2 linked regions of the Drosophila melanogaster genome follow. The protein of the gene in region 2 purifies or fractionates together with the protein of the main gene of each other region. This does not show direct contact. Each region holds a gene or a part of one and is shown on either strand. Other genes may lie near its edges.

Region 1 (6,436 bases), on a different chromosome or scaffold from region 2:
ACGTCGGCTTTGAATTGATTATGATGATAAGATAGCCCTCCTCATTCCGTTCAATTGAGTTTTGAACTAAATGTATTTATTATTGAAGACTTTTTAATGCATTATTATGTAATTGTAAGCATGTGAATCAAGCGTATTTTTAGTTAACTAGTGTTAAGTTTGGAAAGTTTCTGTTGAACGCACAAACACATTAAATAAATCAAAATGAATATTCTCAGAGTCTGGAGAAGCCACTGTAAAGGTTATTCATAATTTTATTCACAAATGGAAAGTTTTGCACAAAAGGTATCTCTCATTTTGCTCAGTCTTTTCCCCACCTATGGCAGTTTTGCTAGATTCGCAAATTATATTGAAAAACCTGGTTAATCATTTAGCATTAGCTGGATTTGGAGCAACCAGAACCAATTGAGTTTTATTCGGATAATACGGGTTGGTATAAAAAAAAGAATATTGTGGTTTATAAACGGATGAAATTAAGAGTTCGCTTCACAAACAGAATAAAAAGCTTTAAAAAGAAAAGACCAGCGGGCATCTACAATTCATCATTTTATTTTTGTTTGTTTTAATATAAAAATGGCATTTCTTTACTAATTTTAAGTTTAAATTACTAATATAAAGTAGTATGTATGATTGCGGTAATTGAAAAATATATATATATATATATATCATATATTCTCGTATATATTCTTCAAGGTGTGAAAAAATAATTGCAATGAACATGAAACATCTTCTGTCAAGCGTATTTTATAAGAAAGCGTTCAATTTAACTTAATGAATAACTTTTATACCTTTTTTGTTGTTTGCCTTTTCTTTTCGTTATTCATTTTTGTATGGTGTAAAGCAAATCGAAACATTTCAATTGTTTTGTGTGTTTACATTACTTTGCAATAATTCGCATCAAAGGAAGAAACAATTAACAAACGATACTCGAGAAAATAGGCAAATTCAAGCGTTCGTTTCTCGCCTTAGTGTTACAACTAATATGCAAAAATAAACTATGAAAAGTGTTCTTCATGAGTTGTGAGTTATCTTTGTTGCTTCGCTTCATAAATTACAATTTCCAAAAAAACAATATATGTAGTTTGATAGGTTTTACATCATACCTTATATGCTACATCATGTGCCTAACATTATATATTTGCCAATTCTGTCGGTCTGTTATGTACGAAGCTACGTTTGAGGTTTCATTGAATCGTTCTCTCTACGGATGCACCCATATGTATATGTCTGCAGTGGCGGTGTGCTTATAGTTCATATAGTTCATAATTTGATATTTGTCATTTTATTTAGAATTTGCGTTATGTGAAAAACATAAATTTAACAAGTTGGTTTGTTGGTTTCTCTCTTTTGTGGTTTTTGCTTGCTTTTAAATAATTCATCCCTTTGCTGCTAACCGATACAATATATATATGTAAATCTAGGCATAAACTATAACCGTTTTCTTCGCGTGTATTTCAAAATATATTAAACACGATGTATGTTGTAGTTTGTTTTTTTTTTTTTGTTTGTTTTTAGGTTTTTTGCTTTTTAGGTTTTTTTTTTTTGTTGGTTTGTTTTGCGTTTGCTTTAGTTTCCTTATTTGTTGTTTGTTATAGTTTATGAGGGCTGTTGTTGTCGCGGTAGATCTACCGTCACATAAGATCGTAGTGCAATTATTAATTTCTTCTTTCTGAGGCTACAGCTGTGTACACAGCTTTACGACAGGTCTGAAATAAAAATATAATGTAATTAGCACTATAACCATGACCGATGGTAACTTGAACTCACAGCTAGGCGCTGCCTCGTAGCGACGCTGTATCTGATCATATGTGAACTTGACAAAGGCATCGTACTGCTCGGCCAGCTTGGTGGTCAGCACGGACTCGTAGCGCTCCCTTAGCTGATTCTCGCGCTCCTTGATCATGCTCTCGCAAATGAGCTGCACCTGCTTGAACGTGAACAGGGCCTTTTCGCCGTGGCGCATCAGGTTCTGTGGACTGTCCGGGCGGCGCGGACTCTCTGGACCCATCTCCGATCCGCTGGACTCCGAATCCTGCATGCGTTCCAAGGCCGACGAAGTGATCGGCAGCTGTTTGCGCTTGTGCAGTCTCTTGATCTCATTGCACAAGCTCTCGGCCATTTTGTCTGTGTTTCGAAAAGAAGAAAGGTGTATTAAGGTAATATGCATAAAAGGAATCCGACGTCCCTTTTCCAGCATCGACCTGATTTACTAACCTGGTGACATTTTGGCCAGCGACGACTCACTGAACGGACTAGGTTCGGTGCTATCCTTGGCGAATCGGTTGCTGGGCGTGTGGGGCAGACCAGCCGAGGTGCTGGGACCGTCGCGGGATGGCGACGCTGGACCTGCATTGCTCCCAGCCTGGCCAAAGGGATTGCAACGCCGGCGCTTCGGAGGCCGCTGGTTCATCGACTCCCAGTCTAGGGCTCGTTTCAGGGTTGCACAGGCCATCGCTATGATTGAGGTTCTACTACCCGGTGGTCTTCTGATAGATAGATGGCTTGCTTGATTGTCGGTAGATGCTGATTATTGCCTCGATTCCAAATGATGGATGCTGCAGATGGAAGATCAAGCGTCGGCTGCAATGGGCAAACAAACAATGAATGAGTAAGGTGAAGTGAACACCTTGCTGGCAAAGAAAAGACGGACGCAAACTGGTTTCAAGGAAAAAACAGGATTCACAGGCGTGCACTCACGCACACGCAGCCGATAAAAGAAAATGGTGCAGCGATTTATGGCCGCCAATGCTGGCAATTTGGACTTTTTCTCGCCTTGTATGTATCGTGGGCAACAATTGTACGCTCTCTTATCTTATCGCTTATGGGGCGTGATTTTGGAAATAATTTGAGGCTTCAACGCTACAAAACAAGGGCCTTTGCTTAAAAAGAGCGCCGAAAATAGGAAGGTACAAAAATTTTTAGTAAATACTTTTCGCTAGTCAAAGTTGCTAGCAATGCATAATTTGAAAAGCTATTATCCGATATTTTCCCCAGAAAGCTATTAAAAATAGAAATGCCAGTAAAAAACTTTTAAATGCGAAGTTCGCGTAAGTTTAATGACTTTGATGACGTCCGTTTTACCTAAATAATCATGACAAGAGAGGAAAAAAAATTCAAGACAACAAAAAAATGTTTTTTTTCCCCCATTTCGTCACGATTAAATTATATTGTTCAATAAAATTAGTAAGCAATTAAACATATTGTTATATTCTTATATTCATAGCTTTTTCTAGAATAGAATGACAAAACCATTTTAAAAACCTAATTTTTATGAGACTATTATAGTTTCCACGACAATTAAAAGGATGTTGGCTTCCTTGGGGTTTCTAGCTTCTTTCGGCTATCGCCGACAGCTCCGATACCGTGCACCCAGCTGCTGTTGTCGCAGGAAAAGGGCGATACCGAATCGGAATACGAATCCAGAAACTCCGAAGAGAAGGAGAAACCAGCCAAAGAAAGCGACGAAACGAAGTGGCGCAGCGCAATTAAAGGACGACCGACAATGAAAATAAAAAAAACCACCACGCAAAGGCAAAATGCATAGCAATGCAGAGGGAAAATAAAGAAAACAGAGAAAAGTGTAAACTGTAACCCAATAGCAGAACAACCACCGATAAAAGAAAACTACGCAGGATAATAATGCGTGTTCTTCTCACTCTTCCCCTTTCTTTCTTTTCTTCTTCTTCGTCGCTGCAGCGGCAGCTGTACCAGCTGTTTTCCGCACTAACACACGCACACTGCCCTCTCGATAAACCGCAACACGTGTGTATGCGTCTGCTGCTGGTGTTGCTGTCTCTGCCCACAATTATTAAATATTTAAAGCCATATACAAAACGTTTTTGGGTTTAACGTTATACTCTTTTACGTGACAAATGCCAGAGATTAGTTTAAAAAAAAGCAAACGAAATGGCAGCAGCCAAAGCGATCACACTGGTTGTCCCACTCTAGCCTGCACACGCACGCACACAAAGAAACGCACACGCACACCGTTGTGAGTTGGAATGTTGATTTCATGAAATTTTAAAAATGGTCGCATCGCATATCATTATCAGCTTTTCAGAGGAACAAAAAGTTAAACAGCTTTTCCAACAATCGCACTTACATTAATGCGTATTTTGATTTTTCCTTCCGACTGCTTTTTTGCTTTCTGCACCACTTCACACGCGCTTTATTTACTTTTTTATTGTGCCACTAGTCCGCTGGCACATACCCACTTACATTCACGTCCGTACTTCAGTTTGGGTGATTAATTTAGGTTTTCGGTTAGATATAAGTAATGTTATTGCTTGCTGGTTGTTTGAGCAGTATTCCAAAGGCCACTGAAATGCACTGTCAATAGTTGTTCGTCCTCGGCGACTCGCTAGATATAATTTACAAATTTTCGTCTCGCTTCTTAGCAAAAATGGACGACGATGCTTGCGTGACGGGACGTGAACAGAGTGACCGCATGGCGACCGCTAATATTGGTTGCCCTGCTAACGGATCTATACCAAAAAATACTTTATGGTTCTACCAAATATAGCAAAAACTTCAAATAACCGAAAAGTCTGGGGAGAACATTTTTCAATTGCATATTCTATGTACTTTCTTGAGTCCTATAACCTTAAGTCGTTTGTAGAAAGTTAGCATTATTGCATTTTTATTTTTATGGAATTCAACTCCAAGTAACAAAAAATTAATAAATAAAAAACACCCTCATGTTCTAAATTCCACCGTTCCTTGAAGCCGCTAACTCATCGACGCCAAATTAAAAATAATTTGTTCTATAATAAGAATCCTTTTCTTCTATCTTTTAAAAAACCTTAAAAAGCCTATCTTATGCTTTTTATAAATTATTATTTTATTATTACGATTATTAATCGAAGAACGTTTAAAAAATGAAAACCTTACATGGGAGCATAATAAAATTTAAGTTGTCTTAAAAATATTTAATTTTGAAATATCACTTAAGTTCAAAGTTTTTAGTATTTTAATCAAGCATCATATTTAGTATATTTGATAAGCCGGAAGGTTTTCTATAGCCGTCAATGCGCGGTCCCACCATTCAATTCAACGACAAAGTAGGAAATATTTTCCACTCCTGATATCAAATATTTTTGCACTTTTATAAGCGTCGCCAGGCAATTTTTTTATCCGCGTCTTTGCCGTTTTTACAGCCAATAAAACCAACGACCTTGCCCAGTGCGTGTGCCTTCGTCACCAGTGGAAAAACATTACGTAGGGGCGCAGGACGGAAGAAAGCAGGAAAAGAAAAGATCTATAAATATTTTTAATCGCCGTGAAAGTAGCCAGCAGATTTTAGTTGCAAAATATTATTTCATTTGCGGTGCGAGGACACAGTAATCTGCGAAAATGGTCTTGAAAGTCTACGTCAGCGGCATGTCCGGCAATAAGGAGGTGAGTTTGTGGGCGTGGCGGGCTTAAAACCGAAATAGTGTCATGTTATTGGAATGTTTGGCCCTGGTATTAGCGACAAACAGATAAAAAGGAAAAGAAGCAAACTAAAGTGGTGACGAACGCATTGCAAATTCTATTTCTTCTGCTGCGTTTCGTCTTTGTGTGTATGTACGTGAGTTGGACAATGATGATGATGTAGTGTGTGGTATGTAAGTCTGTATGTCTGTACAGTCAAAGAAAAACAAGTGGGTATTTTCGTGAGTGCCCTTGTGTGCGAGTGTTAGTGGTGGCAAGAAGCAGAACAAACATACATTTCATTGCCCATATAAGCTCATTCCACTGTGAACTGTAAATTGTTCATGGAAGAGAGGGATTTCCATTGATCGCAGTTGCGTGGGTGCGTGTGCATGTGTGTGTGTGTGTACATGCGTGAGGGGTGATTCACTTCCCCCTCTCACTCTTTCGGTGCCTTTGTTCAATTGGCAATCTTCCTCTTCCAATAAGAACAAAAACATAACGGTCATTGTACGGTTCACAATTATTTGTTTTTGTCCTGTCTTTGTACACTTTAAAAAAGCGTTGGGAAACACATATTCTTATCGTAAGATAAATGCTGGGGTGCAACAAACCATTTTAATTAGCCTTATCATATCGCGTGGTTCTGGCGTTCTTTTTACGTACATATGTTTATATCGGCGGGGAGTTGGCTTTGTGTGCGCTTGTGTGCGTTTGGGCTTGCCGGTAACACTTCATTAGCGATTTGTCATCGCTGTAATTAACAGCGTTGTCAAAGGTAGCTACACTGAACAAAACGATACATGTTAAAGGTATTTTATATACTTTAATTTTTAACTTTCTTTTCAAATTTAAATGCTTTCACTGACCGTCGAAATCCAATTTTACAGGTGAAGAAGCGCCAGCAGCGCGTTCTGATGATCCTGGACAGCAAGAACATCAAGTACGACACGGTGGACATCACGGAGCCCGGCAAGGAATCCGAGAAGGAGCTGATGCAAAACAAATCGACAAGCAACGGTGG
Region 2 (5,186 bases):
TATTTTCGGGGCGTTTGTCTTAGCTAACTTTCCGCCCGGGAAAGGAGAAACTTTTTCGGCTGCACTGTTGCACCCACCCACACACACACACCCATACACACTCTTACTCACACACACGAAGATCTATTGTAAAATATGTAAGAAAGTTTCCTTGGCCTGGGTGGGAAAACGCTGCGTTTTCGGGAAAGCAGCAGCAGCATCGACGTTGTCTTTGGGGAAATTAAACATTTTCTATTTGAAAACTTTGCCGTGTGTGGGGGGCGGGGGGTGTAACGGCATTTGAAGCGGTGGATTTTCCAAAGGTTCAAGAGCAACAGTTGCCTTTTGAACTGTTTCGGGTCGGTCACACTTTGGCACTGCGCTGGATTCCCTTTGTTCCACCCAACAATTGCGGAAGTCATAATTTCTCAGCCGGCCAAGTTTCTGGTTTTTTGACAAATTTAGCTGCAAATTGTCGGCAAAACTTTAGTTCCAGCTTAAAACTGGAATGGGTCTCCAGTCCCGTGCCTTCGGATCCAAATGTCAAGCGGCTTGCTGTCATAGGTGTTGCATATTTAATGCGCCGCCGCCGATGGCAACACACGCGGCACAGCAGCGCTGAGGAGCAGCTGCATCCCCAGCACGGCGATTCGGACAAGTGCACCCAGAGTGCATGCAAATATTTTTGTCAACGATTGTTTTGCCGGCTCCCTCGATTCCGAGTGGCGAGCTGTGACTGCGGGGGCGGGCGGGAAAAGTCCGGGAAAAGCGGGTCAGGGAAAAGGGAGCGAGGACGAGGACAGTGGTAACCCATGTTTTTGTTGTTGCCAACGGTTTGAGTAATTGTCGCTGGTGTGAAAATTGGCAACGATGCCATCGAGCTGGAAAAGGATTTACTGGGTTATGTATGAGCCAAAGGCTGATTGAGATGGAGGAGCAGCTGGATCGAGCTGGAAATGGCCATCGATGGACGTCTATGGCGTTAGCGATGTTGCCAAAACTGAAATATTCATTAGGCCAGCAAAAAAAACCAATTGAGGTCATTTGAAAAGTGGCCTTGCTTAGCAAATCTGTTGAATATTATAAAATGGTGAGAAAGGCACTTGCTTTTAACATAATTAATCCTTTTTTTTCAAGCATAACAGTTTAACAAAAGATCATGAATAGTACGCGAATATATCCCATTAACTAAATTAATTAAAGCCTCGTATAAAGCGAGCAAGCTTTCCTGATTTTGCGTAAATAAAATCAATTAAATAGAGCTAAAAAAAGCACACCCAAACAATATTTGACAAAAGAAAACGTAGATCCAGGGGCAAATTGAAAACACGATTCAGCCCGCCGAAAAAACCCAATAAAATGGTAATAAAAAACCCAGCAACCAAAAATGATTTTCACATTGATAAAAATTAAATGCGATTCGGGGCGAAAGCAATGCGATGTGTTGCATCTGCTGGGACATTATCAAATAATTCAGTTGTAATCCATTTTAATCCGCCTGCCTGGCTGCGAAACCGACCCACTTGACATGGCGAATCATCAAAATGTTTGTTTACTTGCCCCATGCCCCATGCCCCTTGCCCCTCGCCAGCTCTCTCCTGCCACTTTCCTCCATGAAAGTATTTATTTCGACATTTTGCTAAACATTGCCCAGATTTAAATCTGCATTCATGTAAAATTGCATAAATACATGCAAATATCGCTTGATGGAAATGTCCAGCTATATTTCAGTCACCCACGTTTTTTTTACTCTGCAGGAATTATTCAAATATTTAAGCGGCTTAGTGTAATGGCTGGTGAGTTTTGTCTCAAATCGGAGGACGGGTACAAAGCCGCTCTAAGCGAAAAGAATCGATGCGGCTGCTTAAATTATACTTTATAATTTGGGCATATATGTGGATTACCCCAATTGGCAATTGAACGTATAATAGTTCGGTTTTATATTCAATCGATTGCGCACAGGGCGTATTTATCATTCAAAATGTTTCAAATGCCAATATGGATTGTAATACATTGTAATACATATTCTTCTTACATTACAAAATAGATTCTTCGAAAGGTAGATAAGAAGAGTATTCCAAAGCTATTCCGTTTAATTAACAAAGAATCCCATAAAAAGAGGAGCACGCCCTTCACGAAAGTCAGTTAAAGAGAATGTTAGCCCCACTAATCCTCCTGCAGATTGTGGCTCTGCCTTGGTTGGCTCTCGGAGATCAGCGGATCATAAACGGAAACACTGTCAACATTAAGGATGCACCGTGGTATGCCTCCATCATAGTCAATTCGAAGCTCAAGTGCGGTGGTGCCATTATCTCGAAGAACTACATCCTGACTGCCGCCAAGTGTGTGGATGGCTACAGCGCCAGGAGCATACAAGTCAGGTTGGGAACCAGCAGCTGCGGCACTAGTGGATCAATTGCTGGAATCTGTAAGGTCAAAGTTCATAGCCAGTACTCCAGCTGGCGCTTTGACAATAACTTGGCTCTCTTGAAAACCTGCGAGCTACTCAACACCACCGATGAAATAAAGCCAATTGAGAGGGCCGACAAAGTGCCGGATGATAATTCTCGAGCCAATGTGACTGGCTGTGGTGGCAGATCAGGCAATTTCCTTGACCTTATCTTAGACTTAGAGGATTAGCAGCGGAATAGAAGAGAAGTGCTTCCAGCTGCCTGTCCAATTGCACGGCACTCAAGTGCGGATCCTTAGCCAAAAACAGTGCGCCGCCGACTGGAAAGTCATACCATTTTACTTACTCAAGGGAATCTCAGACCTGACCATCTGCACCAAGTCGCCGGGCAAGGGAGCCTGCTCCACAGACAGGGGTTCGCCTCTGGTCATCGACAACAAGCTCGTGGGCATCCTCTCCAGAGCGGGCTGCTCCATTAAGCCCGATGTCTATGCAAATATCCTGGGGCACACGAACTGGCTGGACTCGAATACGAAGGATTAATATCTTACTTGCTGTGAATAGTTTAATGATAATATTACCTTGCCTTCTGTAGATCTATATTTGAATTTGTAAAGCACAGAATAAAGAACATTGCACAATGGCTTAAAGTGAGAAAAATTTTAACACACCGTAAAGTAAAACAAATTAATTTGCTATGCTTTGTGCCAATACTATAAAATTTAAACAGCCTGCTATATGCACATTTATTTGGCATCATGCTTCTGCGATCTCTACCAATTTTCCTTGCACTCTTTGTCCTTTCCAAAAGTGACACGGGTGCAGGTGAAGATTCGGAAGAGGACGACGAAAACGACTGCAACCGGACGACTCTTGGTGGTCATCCCGTGAACATAACCACAGCGCCATGGATTGCTTCCATTTCGATCAAACAAAAGGCCAAGTGCGACGGAGCGATATACAAACTGAGTCACATTGTGACAGCCGGGAAATGTGTGGATGGATTCCTGAACAAGGTGATCCGTGTACGAGTGGGTAGCACTACGCGCAGCGATGGAGTCATCGAAGTAGCAGTCTGCAACATTACAGTTCACGAAAAGTTCACCGGCCAGACAGTATTTCACAATGTGGCCATATTAAAGTTGTGCGAACCGCTCGAGGCCTCCAAAACGATCCAGCCAATTCAGTTGGCCAACCAGCTTCCGTCTAATGGGGCAAAGGTCACGGCCAACGGGTGGCCCTCCTTCAGGTGGTGGGCAATGTATTGGAAGAAGTGTCTGGATGATGAAGCCTACAAGCTGCAGAAGGCCGAGGTGAAGCTACTTGGCCCTAGCCAGTGCACAGATCTGTGGGCGCGAAACAATTGGTCCAAAAAGAATTTTACAGATGACTTGTTCTGCACCGAGAAGTTCGCTAAGGAAGCCTGCTCTTTAGCGATGGGATCACCTGTGGTCCACAATGGCAAACTGGTCGGCATTATAACGAAAGGCGGCTGTTCGGAGTATCCAGAAGTCTATATCAATCTTATAAAGTACAAGGACTGGCTGCATAATCATACAAAGTAAACTTAAGCGTTCTCCCAATTAATTGTTAAAAAATACTTTGCCTTCGAGCTATGACTATGTGCAGATTAGTGCAAGTAATACGCAATACTTCCTATTTTGATAGAGCTTCGAAGTAAAGCCATCACTCAATTTGAGGTATGACTTTGCAGATAAGGAGCTCTAGCCTTGAAAACGACTTAACTTTTCCTATAAAAAGAGTCGCACATGCAGCTCTAAAAATCAGTTGTTTATAATGATTTGGAGTGTGTTCTTATTTCTGTTGGCTGCTCTTTTACGGCCGGTTCGTGGTGATCTGGATGCCCAAAGCCGCATCATTGGAGGTTATGATGTGGATATTGAAGATGCCCCGTACCAGGCGGAAGTAATAATAGATGGCACAGCAATATGCAGTGGGGCGATCATCACATCAGACACCATCATCACAGCAGCTTCGTGTGTCCAGTCCTACGGTTCAATTGAAGTACGCGTGGGCACCAGTTCCCGCGATTATGATGGAACTGGATTCCTGCTCGAAGTCTGTGAAATAATTAATCACCCGCAGTACAATTGCTGGCGTTTCGATAACAATCTGGCACTGTTGAAGTTGTGCGATCCGCTCAAGACCTCCGAAGCTATTCAGCCCATCAGCATAGCAGAGGATGAACCGGACGATGGTTCGTGGTGCACTGTCTCCGGCTGGGGATCCACCAGTTGGTGGGGCAGCTGGTGGGACAGGTGCTTCGGCAGTCTGCCGGACTATCTGCAGATGGCATGGGTCAGCGTCTACAATCGGGAGCAGTGCGCCGCGGATCGCGGTGTTTGGTTCGGACTCTGGGACAATGGCATCTCGTACCTTACCCTCTGCACTCATAATGGCGCCGGAGGATGCTCCTACGATACGGGAGCTCCCTTGGTGATAGATGGACAACTCGTGGGCATTCTATCCGAAGGCGGCTGCACCACCAAACCAGATGTCTACGCCAATGTACCTTGGTTCACAGGTTGGATTGCCGAGAACACCGAAGATGAGGATACAACCGCTTCGACAAGTACTTCTAGTGATAGTAGTACCACTGTGGCTAGCACTACAACTGCTACTGTACCGAGCACTGTACCTAGTTCTGAACCTAGCACAGAACCTGTTGCAGTACCTAGTACTGAACCTTCCACCAGTACCGTACCCAGTACCATATCTAGTACCTTACCTAGTACAGTCTCTAGTACCTTACCTAGTGCAGTCTCTAGTACCTTAC

What was found. Proteins that work in one complex are often made in the same cells at the same time.
Region 1: the proteins of twi (region 2) and akirin purify together in Drosophila melanogaster (affinity purification with western blotting, with the first as the bait; one study listed by BioGRID). This does not show direct contact.

What each region holds. Positions count from the first base shown.
Region 1 is NT_037436.4:7,367,851-7,374,286, reverse strand, and holds akirin (akirin), read right to left. Parts: upstream 4,445-6,436; 5' UTR 4,219-4,444; exon of another isoform or gene 4,103-4,218; intron 3,948-4,102; exon of another isoform or gene 3,737-3,947; intron 3,488-3,736; exon of another isoform or gene 3,262-3,487; intron 2,581-3,261; 5' UTR 2,453-2,580; coding exon 2,215-2,452; intron 2,125-2,214; coding exon 1,768-2,124; intron 1,707-1,767; coding exon 1,696-1,706; 3' UTR 576-1,695; downstream 1-575. Other genes in the region: Sh3beta, read left to right, coding at 5,353-5,397, 6,303-6,436. UniProt on the Drosophila melanogaster protein: Molecular adapter that acts as a bridge between a variety of multiprotein complexes, and which is required for embryonic development and for normal innate immune response.
Region 2 is NT_033778.4:22,983,276-22,988,461, reverse strand, and holds the start of twi (twist), read right to left. Parts: upstream 3,089-5,186; 5' UTR 2,971-3,088; exon of another isoform or gene 2,933-2,970; coding exon of another isoform or gene 2,134-2,932; exon of another isoform or gene 1,913-2,133; intron 1-1,912. Other genes in the region: CG32833 (uncharacterized protein), read left to right, coding at 3,148-3,954; CG32834 (uncharacterized protein), read left to right, coding at 4,187-5,186. UniProt on the Drosophila melanogaster protein: Involved in the establishment and dorsoventral patterning of germ layers in the embryo.